3 linked regions of the Saccharomyces cerevisiae S288C genome follow. The gene in region 1 interacts genetically with each later gene. Each region holds a gene or a part of one and is shown on either strand. Other genes may lie near its edges.

Region 1 (6,340 bases):
CCAATTAGAGACCCTAATACCTGGCATAGAACTGATATTGATGCCAATGTTGCAAATCCCTTGAAATTCCTGAGAGGAGGCGAGTATGCTAAGTTTCCTTATTCAGTAATGGAAATTAAAGTGAAAAGTTCATTAGATTCTTCGATGTCTGCCAGTTCTATGATTTCTAATGTAAAACTGCCTAAAAAGCATGGTCAATGGCTGAACGATTTGACAAATTCTCATTTGGTCAAAGAAATTCCAAAGTTTTCTATCTTTGTGCAAGGTGTGGCATCATTGTATGGAGATGATGAAAAATTAGATATCTTACCATTTTGGTTACCAGATTTGGAAACAGATATTAGACAGGATCCTAAGCAAGCATATGAGGAGGAAAAGAAAAAACTGTTGAAACAAAAAGAGATACAAAAGAAAATTGATGGAATGAGAAGGCTTTCCAACTTAAAAGAGCCTCAACATCAAGCAGCAGTACCGGTATCTCAAGAGGAAAATGAGCGTATTACCTCTCAAGGTGATTTGGAGGCAGACGGTTCATCCGATGAGGAAACTGAGCAAGAACCTCATTCGAAAAGATCAAAGAAAGTTCGGAGAAGAAAACCCAAGGCCACTTTCTTGAGAATTTTGGCCGGTAGAGATCCAAAGTTAATGGGGGTGGATTCTGAAGAAGAAGAAATTGAATTGCCACCTGGTGTGAAAAAACCATTAAATTTGTTAAAAAATGCTGGTCCTGTAAACGTGGAGGCAAAGGTTTGGCTTGCCAACGAACGTACATTTAACAGATGGTTAAGTGTCACCAGTTTATTGAGTGTTTTGACGTTCTCAATTTATAATTCTGTGAAGAAAGCCGAATACCCCACTTTGGCTAACTACATGGCATACGTATATTTTGGTCTAACGATATTCTGTGCTTTATGGTCCTATTCCATTTATATGAAAAGAGTTGATATTATTCAACAAAGAAGCGGTCAACATCTAGATGCACCACTTGGTCCAGTTTTGGTTTCTATAGTTTTATTTGTCACTTTAGTGGTTAATTTTGTTATGGCGTTTAGAAATGCAGCAAAGTCTCGTCAAGAGTTGCAAATACAGAATTTAGAAGTTCCTGAAAGAATACCAGAAGTATTAAGGCCACTTCAAAATTATCTATTCAAGTTAATGGGGCCAAGCAGTGATTAGAATATGTACTCTATCTACTGAGACCATGTGTTTTTATGTTTGTAATGTGTAGCAAAAAATTATCATCTGCTAACAATTGCTTACTTTTAGAAATCACATTTAAGGGGAAGTTTTAAATCATTCATAAATATCAATGCATTTACATAAACATCATTTTCTCCGGTTTTTGATAACTCTGTACAGAAATAATGGATTATAGTTTTAAGCTAAGCGGAAAAGCCAAATTATTCTTCAAAATTTTCGATGAAGTCGGAGTTTATTTCTTTTAATTTCCCTAAAGTCAAGGGCTCTTTTTCATTTCCTGCACATTCTTTCAATATCGCTACAAGATTGTGTATTCTCTTCATTTGGTTTATGGTCTTTTGATCAACAACGCCATTTGAATCTTCGTTTTCAGTCCTTGCTTTTGCAATTTTCAAAAGCGAATGGATATTGTACGCTTCTGCAATAATATCCGGGTTGAATATTTTTTTTACCACCCTTATTCCACTATTCTCTATTGCGACAGATTTCTGGGTCAACTGATAATTCATTTTGACAGAATTGTCATTGAGAAGGACTGCATCCATATGAAGATGGGAAACTGCTGGCTTCTTAGACATTATTTTAGGAATGTCCTGGAAGTGTGTAGAAAGAAATACCGTTGCCTCCGTTCGAAGTAAATGTTCAGTTACTGCCAAAGACACACAAAACCCATCAGCGATGCTTGAACCACGACCAAGTTCATCTAAAATTAACAGTGTTTCTGTATTTATGTCATCTAAAAAGTAAGCCATTTCTTTCATTTCAAAACCAAAATTTGATGAGGTTAATTCCATACTGTCATTGCAGACTCTTGCATGTAGACGTTTAAAGACAGGAAAAGACCCATAAAGTGCCGGTATACCTGATCCCATTTGGGCCATTATGCAAATAAGGGCAACTTGTTTTAAATAAACAGATTTTCCACTCATGTTGCATCCGGTTATGATTTGTAAGCTGGAGCTATGTTTTGTACTTGATATGGTGTTAGGGACAAAATTTTTTAGTACCTTTTCAAGTAGTGGGTGTCTTGAATCTCGAATTAGTAGATTGTTTGTAAAAATCGGTATTGTGTAATTATTTTCTTTCAAATTATATGTGAATGAACAAACCAAATCCAGGATAGCCACTGCTTCTGCAATCATAAATAGTTCAGAAATATGGGTTGCAATTTTATCGAGCAGTTCATCAACTGTCTCTTCACTTAAAAGTAAAATCTCTTCCATAACTTCCTTCAACCTCGCATTTTTTTTTATTATATTTAGGGTTGTACATTCAATATAATTTTTTTTTATTGTTCTTGAAATGAATACGTCTGGAAGTGTAGCGACGTCATCGGTAAATTCCTGTCTTTTTATTCTGAGATAAAAGCCTCGTGCAGAATCGTAATTATGATCTAAATTGATTTTGTTTTTAGCGGTAAGATCTTCTACCTCACGAAAAAATTCCTCTTTTACCTCTTTGTAGATTTGTCTAGAAACATCCAAAAGCCCATTGGAATCACTTTTCACAGCATATGAACGTTGGTTAAGTAGTTGTATAGCTGAGGATGCCCAGACACAGTCTTCATTTATACAACTATTAATTAATTTTTCAATTTCCATAATTGCGTCATTATTGAATATTTTTTTGGTCTCGCTAATTAAACGGCTTTGAATTAACTGATCATTAAGTGCGTCTTTCAATGACTTCACGCTTTGTAAAGTTTCCTTTAGCAACAAAACGTAATTAATTCTTTGGTCAGGTTTTATTGCAGAATGATTAATGCATAATAACCTTGAAAATAACTTATCTAGATCAGGCAATGATTTCATTTCTAGCCTTAATTTTTGTAGAAGGTCATCATTGGCTTTCAATTCTTCTAGGGCCTCTAGTCTCATTTCGATACTGCCCCTATCAGTTAATGGCTGCAGTATACTGTTCCGAAGTGATCTTTGTCCCATTTTAGTGGACGTGGTATCCAAGAACTTCCATAGTGATATGCCATTCTTATCCAATTTATTTTCTACAAGTTCTAAACCTCTGACGGTTTTAGAATCAATCAGCATTGTATTTTCTGTTCCTTCAAACTGTATACGTAGTTTTCGAAACGCATTCAAATTTCGGCTGCTTTTGGATATAATCTCTTCCATGTAGCTTATCGCAGCAGATGCAGCACAAAGAGCAAACGTTTTATCTATAATCTCCTCGATTTTCAAGTCCTTTTTTGTATCATCCATTAAATACTTTGTAATCGCCGCCAGTCCATCTTGGCTATTGAAGCACTTTCGTGAACCCTCTTCAATTTTAACTGTCTCGGCCACATTAAATTTTATCATTGTCGCTAATTTTGATACTGTTGGAGCTAGAGAACTGCTTGGAATCAGTATTTCCGTAGGTTGGTAAATTTGGAGTTTATGAACTACACGAATGTAAATTTGTGAATCCATGAAATCTGAAAGATACATCTGTCCCGTGTTACAGTTGATAATACATAACCCAATCCGCGTACTTATGTCTCTTGGCACTTCGTATATGCAACAAAGAACACAGTCAATACTAGGACCGAGGAGTGAAGCGTTGGTGCTGTATCGACTTAAGGAGGTTGCGGTCCTAGAGGCCATTGATCCAGTCATTAAGTAATGGCTATGTGTTGAATCTTTTTCATTGTTTTCCCATGTTGTCTCTGCTATTTGTAGCGTTTTCTTTTTGAGAGCCCAACTACTTATGTTAGTTGGCGATTTTTGGTTCCTGATACTCTTTTTCGTACTTGGCTTCGAAATAGAGTTTGAAGAATTAGCCGCCGACCTTAAATTGAAATAATTTGTACTGATAAAACTAGATAGATTAGATTCACTCATTGCATATAGTTTGCGTTGATCAGCTACAGATTTCAATGCTATAACTAGTTATTTTTATATGTTTCACTTTAAGTAAAATCCAACTGCTCTTTTGCTATTCTTCGTTGATGCCTTATATGTATGAAAGCTGTACGTTCGGGATTTGAAAAGGAAATGAAGACGCGAATTAAAAAAAAATAATAAACTGGTTCATAGCAGAAAAGAGGAGACTAAATAAGATTTTGCTCTCATACAGATGCAACACATAAAAACTTTAATCGATTTCAGTATGGAAAAAGATATGATACAATAAAATCTAAATCTTAGAAACTGATTTTGAATAAAAAAACGACCCCAGTGAGGGTTGAACTCACGATCTTGCGATTAACAGTCGCACGCCTTAACCAACTTGGCCATGGAGTCAGTCACTTTTGAGTTCTGCAACTCTTAAAACGGAATAGACTACGTAAAACAATGTCATCCCATACCAAAACAATCCTGATTTCTCAAAGGCATCGCAAACCTCTGGAATAAAAATCCACTATCATCTATCAACTAATAGTTATTCAATATATTATCATATACAGTGTTAGATGATGACATAAGTTATGAGAAGCTGTCATCGAAGTTAGAAGAAGCTGAAATGCAAGGATTGATAATGTAATAGGATAATGAAACATATAAAACGGAATAGTCTAACATTAGTATGTAGAAATATGGATTCCATTTTGAGAATTCCTAAATCCTCGAGGAGAACTTCTAGCATATTCTGTATATGTTGGAATAAAAATCAACTATCATCTACTAACTAGTATTTACGTTACTAGTATATTATCATATACGGTGTTAGAAGATGACGCAAATGATGAGAAATAGTCATCTAAATTAGTGGAAGCTGAAACGCAAGGATTGATAATGTAATAGGATCAATGAATATTAACATATAAAATGATGATAATAATATTTATAGAATTGTGTAGAATTGCAGATTCCCTTTTATGGATTCCTAAATCCTCGAGGAGAACTTCTAGTATATCTACATACCTAATATTATTGCCTTATCAAAAATGGAATCCCAACAATTACATCAAAATCCACATTCTCTACATGGTAGCGCCTATGCTTCGGTTACTTCTAAGGAAGTCCCATCAAATCAAGATCCGTTAGCCGTTTCAGCTTCCAATTTACCGGAATTTGATAGAGATTCCACTAAGGTTAATTCTCAACAAGAGACAACACCTGGGACATCAGCTGTTCCAGAGAACCATCATCATGTCTCTCCTCAACCTGCTTCAGTACCACCTCCACAGAATGGACAGTACCAACAGCACGGCATGATGACCCCAAACAAAGCTATGGCCTCTAACTGGGCACATTACCAACAACCGTCTATGATGACGTGTTCACATTATCAAACGTCACCTGCGTATTATCAACCGGACCCACACTATCCGTTGCCACAGTATATCCCACCACTGAGTACTTCCTCACCTGATCCAATCGATTCACAGAATCAACACTCTGAAGTACCTCAAGCTGAGACAAAGGTGAGAAATAACGTCTTACCACCACACACTTTAACATCAGAAGAAAACTTTTCTACATGGGTTAAATTTTACATCAGATTTTTGAAGAACTCTAATCTCGGTGACATCATTCCAAATGACCAGGGTGAAATCAAAAGTCAAATGACTTATGAAGAACATGCGTATATATACAATACCTTCCAAGCATTTGCCCCATTTCATTTATTGCCAACATGGGTAAAACAAATTTTAGAAATTAATTATGCTGACATCCTTACAGTCCTTTGTAAAAGTGTGTCCAAAATGCAAACTAACAATCAAGAATTAAAGGATTGGATAGCTCTTGCCAACCTTGAGTACGACGGAAGTACATCTGCTGATACATTTGAAATTACAGTCAGTACGATCATTCAGAGGCTAAAAGAAAACAATATCAATGTTAGCGACAGATTGGCCTGTCAACTAATACTTAAAGGTCTATCCGGTGACTTCAAATACCTACGTAATCAATATCGTACCAAAACGAACATGAAACTTTCCCAATTATTCGCTGAAATTCAGTTAATATATGACGAAAATAAAATCATGAATCTAAATAAACCGTCCCAATACAAACAACACAGCGAATACAAAAATGTTTCTCGCACATCTCCAAACACGACTAACACAAAGGTTACAACTCGTAATTATCATAGAACAAATAGTTCAAAACCAAGAGCAGCAAAAGCTCACAATATTGCTACATCTAGTAAATTCTCAAGGGTGAACAATGATCACATTAATGAATCAACCGTTTCA
Region 2 (4,393 bases), on another chromosome or scaffold:
GGCTTTTTTGTTCAAATCCAATGACAATCTTCAGGCCCGTCTGCTTAATCAACATAGCAAATACAGAGACACCTTCCAATTGAAAAATTGACTTCAGAAGAGGTTTGGAATCTAAAGAATGCCATTCAACCAAAGCACTTTCAAAATAATCTAACGATATGTTAGAAAGCACGTTATATTTGAGTACATCATTCATCTCATTCTCCGCCTCATTAGGGACGTAAATCAATATAGGTTTATCAGATTCATCTATCAATGATACGAAGCAAGGCCTCAAGCTCATAGTTTGGTGATATAAACGTACAATTTGATTTTTGGAGAGAATATTTACTCAATTTTCAACTCAATAACTTTTATGTAAAATGTTTCTTGGCCGTCGATGAGCTCTTCCGGCAGAACTTCGAAAGTGAAAAAAAAAAAAAAAAAAAAATAATAATAATATTAATACTACTTATATACTATTAAAAAATCGTTTAGAAATGATTCATTTATAAAATTCGTTACTTGCGGTCATTGGCAATAGATTCAGCTGCGGTTCTCCCAAAGACAACGCATTCTAACAAACTTGAACCACCCAACCTATTGGCGCCATGAACACCGCCAGAAACTTCACCGGCCGCGTACAGGCCTTTTAGTAGCCTTTCGTCGTTCTTGCCAATGACTTGAGCCTTGACATTGATTCTAGCACCACCCATGGTGAAATGGACAACCGGTGTTACTTCACCAATAAAAACCACAGTTTCTGGAGTAACGTCAGAGCCAAATTCGTTGAGAATAACGGTACGTCCCAACGGATCAGCCTTGGTAGTGAAGGAAGAGTATGTTTGCAATTCCTCGCATAATTGGGCGACAGTGATTGGTAAATTATATTCAGAAACAACTTGAGATAATGTCAATTTCTGTACAAGTTTCTTGAACATGTAAAAATCTAAATTATTCTTCAAATCTGTGTACATTTTTTCGCCCATAACCAATAGTGCTCTGTTATCCTCTTGAGGACAAACCTTTTGAATAGCTGCAGTGACTACATCTCTTGTGGTCAATTCGTTGACAAATCTTCTACCGGTAATAGGGTTTAATAGGATACCACCAAGACCTCTTAAGGATTCGGCAGCCAAGAATTTCCAGCTTGAGCTACGGTCATTTGGATCAATGAACCCAGTTGGATGAACTTGAATTTGGTCCATGTCAATCAGATCAGCGCCTAACTTCTGCAGAAGCCTTTGACCATCACCAGTTGTTTGTTGCCCGTTTGTTGTTGGCAAGTTCACCAGTTCGGGTGCGTATTCTTTAAGCATTTCCTTAGAAAAGCCAAACCCTCCAGAACAAAAAACGACATCGTTAGCACTCACCATGTGCTTTTCGCCATTCTTGTCCTCGTACACTACAGCAGAAATGGAGCCATCCTTTTCATGGATGTCTACGACTTTACTGTCTAAGTTAATCTTAACTAACTCTGGTTTAGTCTCAGCTAATTTCTTCAAATTGTTAGATAAGGCAGAAACAATTTCGAAACCTGGAGGCAACTTCCCAGACGATCTGTGAGTTCTTGCCACAGAGTGGCCACCCAATTGAGCCAATAGGTCCAATTTCAAATCAAATTCGTTTTTCAACCATTCAATAGCCAGGGGAGAATCATTGGCCAACTTAGCCATTAATTCTTGGACACCTTTACCTTTAGCAGACTTGATGGTGTCATCTTCAAATAAGCGTGGGGAGTCCTCGATGTGGAAGTGACGTTGAGTCTCGGTGCAAGCACCGTTAATACCACTGGAGGCCTTGATAGAGTTCCCACCGATCGAGGAAGCCTTTTCGAGGATGGTTACAGGGATGTTATACTTGTTAACCAATTCATTGGCAGCAGCCAGCCCGGCCAAACCGGTTCCAATAACAACAACGGGAGAGAGAGACATTTACAATTACGGATGAGGGGTTGTTGAAGTGAAGATAAGAAAAAAAAATGGGGTGCTATGTCAGCGTATTGTTCTCAGCTTTTATACGTGCAATAGATTAAGCTGTTCAGGAACGCGACGCGTTGCCCCCGTTACCGTTTGAAAAGAAAAAAATTTTCTTTTTCATACCTGTCTCTATTGTTTCAGTCATTCACTGCATGATGACAAATGAAAGAAGAAAGACAATAGTAGTAAAAGCAAAAAAGGAATTAAAGTGAACGTTTTTTAGACTCTTACGCATACATATAAATATATATATATATTTGTATAAAAGGTGTACGTCGAAATCCTGTGAAGAAACCCTGCGAGAATATACATGGGTACATTCAATCTTAATACGTAGTATCGTAGAATACAAAGAAATGTGCTTCTCCACGTGGATACGTACCGTTGTAAACTTTAATCAAGTACCAAAAAAACCAAACATATTCAGTCGATCTCTCAATGGGGAACAAAGAAAAGAGGTTCTTACCTTTTTTTCCTCCTTCCCTCAGAAAGACCACCTTCGTCCCTCCATAATAGGGTAGTTAGTCGCTAGGTGCGCTGGAAACTAACCATTGGTTCTCAAATGTGCCGACATAATTAGTTATAATTATGGTGTGAGAGTTGAAATATCCTTGAATAACAAAACAGAAAAAAGAAAAAACCCATTTGAATATAAAAATCATTGATGCAAAAGAAAGCCGTTAAATCTACAATGCCACGAAATTATTGTAATGTATGAAAAAAAGGAAGAGGGTAGCAATCCTAAAACAAAAACCCTAACAATACACATGATGCAACTGGAACGCATCAGTATTTGTAGGTTTTTATTTCGCGGATAGCGTTGCCATCAACGTCGACCTCGGTGGATTCACTACGGTAAATCTGGGTAGGTCCGTTACAGTCGAAAGGATGTTCTTTAGCATAGTCGAAGGCCTCGGAGATGGCCAATTTGACTTTTTCCAAAGTATCTCTGGTGACTTGATAGTGGAACGAGACTCTACCACCCATTAGCTTAACGTTGTACTTCAAACCCTTCTTAACAAGGACATCTGGGTCCATTCTAGCGGCCTTCAGGTTAATAAAGACAAAGTTGGTGTCTGCTGGAGACTCTAGCGGGATGCCCTTTGCCTCACAATATTCGGCTAATTCATGAGCCAAAGAGTGCGAGTACAGCAATTGGGACTTCCAATCGTTGTTGATGTTTACAAGAGCCATTCTAGCCATCATACCAGATTGTCTAATACCACCACCTTGTTGTTTTCTGAAATGGGTGGCCTTCTTGACAAACTTAAGGTTCCCAACCAAGACGGACCCAATAGGAGCACCCATAGACTTGGATAGACAGATGGAGATGGAGTCGAAGATTTCCCCATATTGCTTTAATGGCACGCCAGATTGTGCAGCGGCATTCCAGATTCTGGCACCGTCACAATGTAGTTTGAGACCATTTTCCATACACCAAGCTTTGATGCGGACCAGTTCTTCCAATGGATAAACAATACCGTGTAAAGTGTTTTCCAGAGAAATCAATCTGGTGGGGGCACCGTGAATATCACCGTCGTCTGGGACGTAGTGTGACTTGATGTCTTCCAAGGTCAAGTAGTCACCGTTGGAAGGAACCACAGGAACCACCATCGCTTGAGACAAGATCGCCAGTCCAGCGGCTTCGTGAGTGTAAACGTGAGCCCTGTAATCACATAGAATAGAGTATGGAGGTTGCATCAAGTGAGTTCTGATGGCAATCTGGTTGGACAAAGTCCCAGAGACACAGAACAAACCTGCTTCTTTGCCAGCCATGCGGGCAACGGTCTGTTCGAGCCTAACGGTGTCAACATCTTCACCGTAGACAGCGTCACCGATAGAGGCCTCTAAAGCGGCCTCCATCATCTCTGCAGTTGGAGTGGTGAATGTGTCTGACCGCAAGTCGTTAGCAGCGGTGATATATTTTGGAGGCAATTCGAATTCAGTCATTGTGTTTATGTTTGCGTTTGTGTGCGGGAGTAAAAGTGAGTGTAAGCCTAGGAAAGGAGGTGGTTACGAACTAGCCAGCGGAAACAATGTACGTATATGTATGTAAGTATTACTCTATACCAGACAGAACAAGATAGACGAGAAGGACACATGGAGGATTTGACAGGCAAGCTCAACACTTGCTTATATATATACACATATGTGCTATTGCAAATGCAAAAAGCGTATATCCAGTGAAGAAAAAGACGAAAAAAGACGAAGAAATAAAAAGAAAAACCGGTGAACGAATATGGCAAGTGAAAAAGTGCGCAATGAGTAATACAAAGGGCGAAGCAGCGGGAAAAAAGAAACGGCGCTGCTGCCCGGAAACCGGAAGCGAAGCTTTGTGGGGTACGGGTGCATGCTCGGCTTTTTCCAGATAGGGGAAGTGCCGTCGCCAAAAAGGCAAGGGTCCGTTTCGCGTGACATTTCATAGCGGGCCAAGC
Region 3 (5,956 bases), on another chromosome or scaffold:
AAATTAGTGTGTGTGCATTATATATATTAAAAATTAAGAATTAGACTAAATAAAGTGTTTCTAAAAAAATATTAAAGTTGAAATGTGCGTGTTGTGAATTGTGCTCTATTAGAATAATTATGACTTGTGTGCGTTTCATATTTTAAAATAGGAAATAACCAAGAAAGAAAAAGTACCATCCAGAGAAACCAATTATATCAAATCAAATAAAACAACCAGCTTCGGTGTGTGTGTGTGTGTGAAGCTAAGAGTTGATGCCATTTAATCTAAAAATTTTAAGGTGTGTGTGTGGATAAAATATTAGAATGACAATTCGAGATGAAATTTTAAGCAAACTCTAGTAGGAAATAAGCGGCTTATTCTTGTTGGCTCCTAATTCTTTTTAGTGTATCAGTTCCCATTGATAAAAAAATTAAAATTAAAATTAGAAAAATTAAACCAGAAAAATCAAGTTGATTAAAATGTGACAAAAATTATGATTAAATGCTACTTCAACAGGATTAGGTTTCCTTTTCGTGTTGAGTAGAGACTCTTTGCATAGCAGCCATGAAGTCTTCGACACTTCTGGTAGACTTCTTTTCCTTCATTGGCTTACCGTTCATCAATCTGTCAAAGGCTTCAGAAGTGGACATTTCGTAGTAGAAACCACCCAAAACACAGAAGATACCGATAGACCAGATCCAGACACGGACGACAGTAACAATATCAGTCCAGTTTTCAGACCACCAACCGAATAAGGTAAACATGGTAGCGATGATGTCGACAGCGAAGACGGCACCAGCCAATTGCCAGGATGGGATAGAAGACCAGAATGGACCAGCAGCTCTGGTAATGAAAATCAACCAGTTTTCAGTCAAGGAAATTTGCAAGAACATAATACCGTTCATAGCACCGAAGTTTTGGATAATACCACCCTTTGGTAAGAACATAGTAGTCAAGGTAATCCAAGAACCTATAGCTAAAACTATGCCCAAAATAATAGACATACCCCATAATCTTGGTAGGTTCCATTTAACGGGCTTTGGAGAGTAAGGAGCATTATCGTAAGCAATAGCCAAAGTAGCAACATCAGCGAAAATAGCGATGAAAACAATCAAATCAATGTCCAAAGAGTTATCCAAAATAGCAATCCATAGACCCAAGAAGATTTCCAAATGTAGAGACAAAGCAATACGGTAAACAACGTAAGAGTACATTCTGTGAAAAATTTGTCTGGAGGTCTTCAAAGCATCAATAATAGCAGATAGACCAGGAGCCAAGAAAACAATATCAGCAGCAGATCTGGCAGCATCAGTAGCACCTTCGACAGCAATACCAGTATCAGCCTTCTTCAAAGATGGAGCATCGTTAACACCATCACCAGTCATAGCAACCAAGTAACCTCTGTTTTGCAAGATTTCAACAACTCTGTATTTATGTTGTGGGAAAACTTCAGCGAAACCATCGGCATTTTCAACAAAATCAGCTAATTCAGAACCTGGCATGTCACCACCGCCACCTAGACCTAATCTTTCAGCGTTGTAAATGTTGGTACCCAAACCCAATTGTCTACAAGTTTCCTTAGCAATACCAACAGCATCACCAGTTAACATCTTAACTCTTAGACCCAAGTGTCTAGCTTCGCTAACAGTTTGAGCAGTATCGTCTCTTGGTGGATCCATACATGGCATAACACCCAAGATTTCCCAGTGACCTTCACCTCTCTTTCTAGCAACACCTAAAGCACGGAACCCTCTAGAAGCCAATTCAGCAACCTTGTTTTCGTAGTTTTCATGGACATCTTCTGGGATTGGGTGATCTTCTTCGACAGTCTTCAAGACGAATAATGGAGCACCCTTAACACAAACAATTCTTTCACCTTCTGGAGATTCGACAACGGCAGTAACCTTCTTGGAGACAGGGTCAAATGGATGGAATTCCAAAACCTTGTACTTGGTCAAAGCGTCCTTAGCCTTTGGATATTGCTTCAAAGACTTCAAGAAAGCCTTATCAATAGCATCCAAACCCTTCTTCTTTCTGGAAGCAGCCAAACAAGCAGTCAACATCAAGTCGTCTGGAGAAACACCTTCAACAGTGTATGGTTCGTGCAAGGACAACTTGTTCTTGGTCAAAGTACCGGTTTTGTCGGAACACAAGATTTCGACACCAGCCAAGGATTCAATAGCAGACAACTTTTGAACAATGGCTTGTTTCTTAGCCAAGTAAGCAGCACCGACGGCCATAGTGGTGGTAACGACAGCTGGCAAACCGACTGGGACACCAATAATAGTAATACCTAGAGTGTATCTCAAGATTCTAACAATACCGTTGGTTCTGTAGAAACAAGCAGTCCAGACCAACAACAAAGTGGCAATGACCAAAACCAATAAGATAATACCAATACCGTTCAAAACTTCAGTGAAATGACCTTGACCACCAGCGGCTTTGTTAACCAAAGCAGCAGCTCTACCAACGAAAGTGTTGTCACCGGTAGCGGTAACAACCATGAAACCTTCACCTCTCTTAACAGTGGAAGAAGAGAAAGTTTGGTCACCGTAATGTTTGTCGACAGCCAAAGATTCACCAGTAATAGCAGATTGATCGATTTGCAAGAAACAGTCTTCAGTGACAATACGACCATCAGTTGGGATAACAGTACCATCTTCCAATTGCAAAATATCACCTGGGACGACTTCGTTGGCTGGAATTTCAACCAATTGACCGTCTCTGATAACAACAGCAGTGTTAGCCAAAGTCTTTTTCAATTCATCGACAATAGAACCAGCTTGGAATTCTTGAACGAAACCAACACCAGCGTTTAACATTAACAAACCACAGATAACACCGAAATCGACCCAATCGGACAAACCGGCAGCCAAAATAGCAGCGGCTTCCATAACGAATTGAATTGGACCGACGAAAAACATAACGAACTTAACGACTAAAGATTCTTTTTCGTCAGCCATTTGATTCAAACCGTACTTCTTTCTTCTTTTCAAAACTTCATCGGAAGTTAAACCGTAAGATGGGTCAGTTTGTAAATATTCTTCTGGAACTGGTCTAGCTTCACCGGCGGCAACTGGACCATCGTTATCACTGTCTTCGTCGTCGACACCGTGATTAGATTGTAGTTCTTCGATTAAAGCATCGATATCGTCATCGTCAGAAGATTCAGATGCAGCGTCATCGTAAGTCTTAGCAGGCTTTTCTTGAGTTGGCTGATGAGCTGAAACAGAAGATGCTGAAGAGGATGATGAAGAGGATGATGTATCAGTCATATTGATATTGTTTGATAATTAAATCTTTCTTATCTTCTTATTCTTTTCAATGATTTTCTTTAACTAGCTGGGGTATATTTTTTTTCTTTCTTTTGAATGTGTGTATAAAAGAGAGAAAAAATGGTTATTTTCCAATTAATTAATTATTAACGATTGTTAAAGAAAAAATTTATCAACGAGGTTGATAGAAAAAAAAAGTTTTTGTAGATATAGAAGAAAAAAAGATTTTCACTATTGGTGTTATAGGAAAGAAAGAGAAAAAATTTAAGAGAAATTAGATGTTAGACGATAATGATAGGACATTTGAAAATAATACAATATTTGGCCTTTTTATATAATCGAAACTAATGGAGGGGAGCATAAGCGGTACCCACCATCGACCACGTTTCGTCACCGGTCATAATTGGAATAAACAAAACAAACAAACGAACTAAAGAGTGTGAGAGTAACAATTTCCACAGAGGTAAAAAAAAAAAAAAGGAAAACAGAAACAAAAAAAGCTCATAGTTCTACTATAGCTTCTTCAGACTTTCTGTGAACGAGGGAAAAAGACAACAAAAAAGCAATGGATAAACGGTCTCGAGAGATTTTTCATGATGGAAAAGGAAGGAAAAAAACCCGAAAGGCATATGGATAACATTCTGAAAATGTCTATTCCTGTCAAAAGCATGTCAGAGGTCTCGAGGCCTGGAAGTGCCGCATTAGGAAATACAGATGCAATGCGCGCGAGTTTACGAAATTCTCGCAGGAGTTTCTCCGGCCATGTGCGGCTGGTTCTACGTCTCGTGTATGGGTTTATTTCTGCGGTAATTATCGCCGGATCTCCGCTTCGAGACCGGGTTTGTTTTCAAATTACCGGAAAAGGTCAGGCAAAACAGAGTGATGTATGGGTGATCCCAGCAATGCCTGTTTATGTTTCTCCGTTTCAGGAAGCTTGTTTTGTTTTTTCCCCGTCAGCGATGGTGACGTAAACGACTTTTTGCACTTTAGCAAAGCTGAGTTAATCTCGGAAAATCTCTGTGTCCTTCCTTTTTCTTCTAGCTTCCGTTCCGAGTCTCATCTTCTTTCCCGTGCCGTCGGGTTTAGTAAAGAAATGTAAAGAAAAAATGTCGTATCGTACCCGAGAAATATTTCAATTCTCTTACGTATGCGATAGCAGTTGGAAAGATCTGATTCGTTACGATGACTTGATAAGCGCGGGCTTTTTCGCCCTATACGGCTTGGGCCTGACTAAAATGTGATTCTGTGTTTTACGTATATGCGCGTATATAGAGCAATTGATTGACTTATTACGCAGTTTATCAAGATAAATTCTTTGTTCTTGCTTACGGGAGTGTGGTAAGCATGTATACGCCCGTTTAAAAACCCGATGGAGGCTTTTTCCCCAATTCTCGTACTCCATTGGGCATATGATTTCTTTCTTTTTCCCTTTTTTTTTTTTTCTATTTCCCTAAACTAACAGAACAAGCTTCAAAACAAATGACGGAGAGAAAAACAGTTTTGATTTACCAAATGCGGCAAACTTATTGAGGCTAGACACAGCTCTACCGGATTCGTCCGAGCACTTTTTTGTTTTCTTTTCTATATTTACTACAAACATAACAAAGTTTTGTGCGTCTTCCCTAAAGCAGCTAGGATGAAAATCCTATGCTCTCATCTCGCTGGTTGCCATCTCATCGCATCCAATGCTGTCTGTAATCATTTTATTGGACTTTTCTTTGTTTGCTAATCCCCCTTTTCTTTTTCCCGTTCTTTTCTTGTCCTTGTTTTTCATTTTAACTATATTTCTGAAATTAAGGAAAAATAAGGCAAAAAGTGGGTGGATGCATCTGCGACTTCTCTAGTTTTGCGCCTACTTGGGCGCGCTAATAATAAGGGTTTAGCTTCTTAAAATAAAAATGTCAGTAACAGTTGTACGATAAGGTCTTTACTTTTTTTCTCTCGAGAAATGTCTTTTTCTAATTAATCTCTCTTTTCTGTTGTTGGTTACTGCCTTCCATAGTCCAAGACCATTCGTTATATGGTGCAGTGTAGGATCGAGGAGAATCGGCTCACGGTGCTTATATTATTGCCCGGCTTCAAGTATATTTACATCAGTCTCCATAGTTGTTTTATCTTATTCTTGGCATTGATCTGCTTATTAAACTATTTATCGGTTCTCTCTTCTGGTACAGAACTTAACATGATCTTGTTTTCACTATTGTGCCATAAGCTGAAAAGGCTAAAATAAAATTAAGATAGTAAAGTTCACTCTTAAACTAATCAAGCATGAATAATACAAAATAAATATTTGAGCCAAAGGGGATGATTTAATTATCAAGTTTTTCTTTTCATACTTCGGTTTACAAGCATTGTTTACGGCTCTTCTTTTCTTAGTTCTTGGCAGTTTGTGTTTTCTTGATGAGAATAAGAAAAGTATCGATCTTACGGCAAAACATAAATAAAACACAACTTTATCTTTTTTTGTCGCAGTAGTGTGGTCCTACAGCTCCAAGCCTGCCGCTTTTAAAATAGTGAGCTGTGCATACTGATATATGTTCTATTTTACCCATTTGAGGGGCCTAAATTGTCTATTAATTTTTTTACTTTAATACAGTTTGTATAGAAACATGTGGCACTAACAGCTTTATCCGCCCGCAGAAAAGATAAAAAAAAAGGGTTTTTACCCGGCAAAGAAGCTTCTCCATCATTTGTCAGGG

What was found. Genes that interact genetically often act in the same process or in processes that back each other up.
Region 2: mutations in MSH4 (region 1) and FRD1 together harm fitness more than expected from each alone (negative genetic interaction), as found in Saccharomyces cerevisiae (2 studies listed by BioGRID).
Region 3: mutations in MSH4 (region 1) and PMA1 together harm fitness more than expected from each alone (negative genetic interaction), as found in Saccharomyces cerevisiae (2 studies listed by BioGRID).

What each region holds. Positions count from the first base shown.
Region 1 is NC_001138.5:133,121-139,460, forward strand, and holds MSH4 (MutS family protein MSH4), read right to left. Parts: upstream 4,038-6,340; coding exon 1,401-4,037; downstream 1-1,400. Other genes in the region: VTC2 (vacuolar transporter chaperone), read left to right, coding at 1-1,176; YFL002W-B (gag protein), read left to right, coding at 5,084-6,340. UniProt on the Saccharomyces cerevisiae protein: Involved in meiotic recombination. Facilitate crossovers between homologs during meiosis.
Region 2 is NC_001137.3:64,885-69,277, forward strand, and holds FRD1 (fumarate reductase), read right to left. Parts: upstream 1,914-4,393; coding exon 501-1,913; downstream 1-500. Other genes in the region: TCA17 (Tca17p), read right to left, coding at 1-283; threonine aldolase GLY1, read right to left, coding at 2,745-3,908. UniProt on the Saccharomyces cerevisiae protein: Irreversibly catalyzes the reduction of fumarate to succinate. Together with the second isozyme of soluble fumarate reductase (OSM1), essential for anaerobic growth. Involved in maintaining redox balance.
Region 3 is NC_001139.9:479,410-485,365, forward strand, and holds PMA1 (H(+)-exporting P2-type ATPase PMA1), read right to left. Parts: upstream 3,258-5,956; coding exon 501-3,257; downstream 1-500. Other genes in the region: YGL007C-A (uncharacterized protein), read right to left, coding at 3,532-3,618; BRP1 (Brp1p), read left to right, coding at 3,851-4,228. UniProt on the Saccharomyces cerevisiae protein: The plasma membrane ATPase of plants and fungi is a hydrogen ion pump. The proton gradient it generates drives the active transport of nutrients by H(+)-symport. The resulting external acidification and/or internal alkinization may mediate growth responses.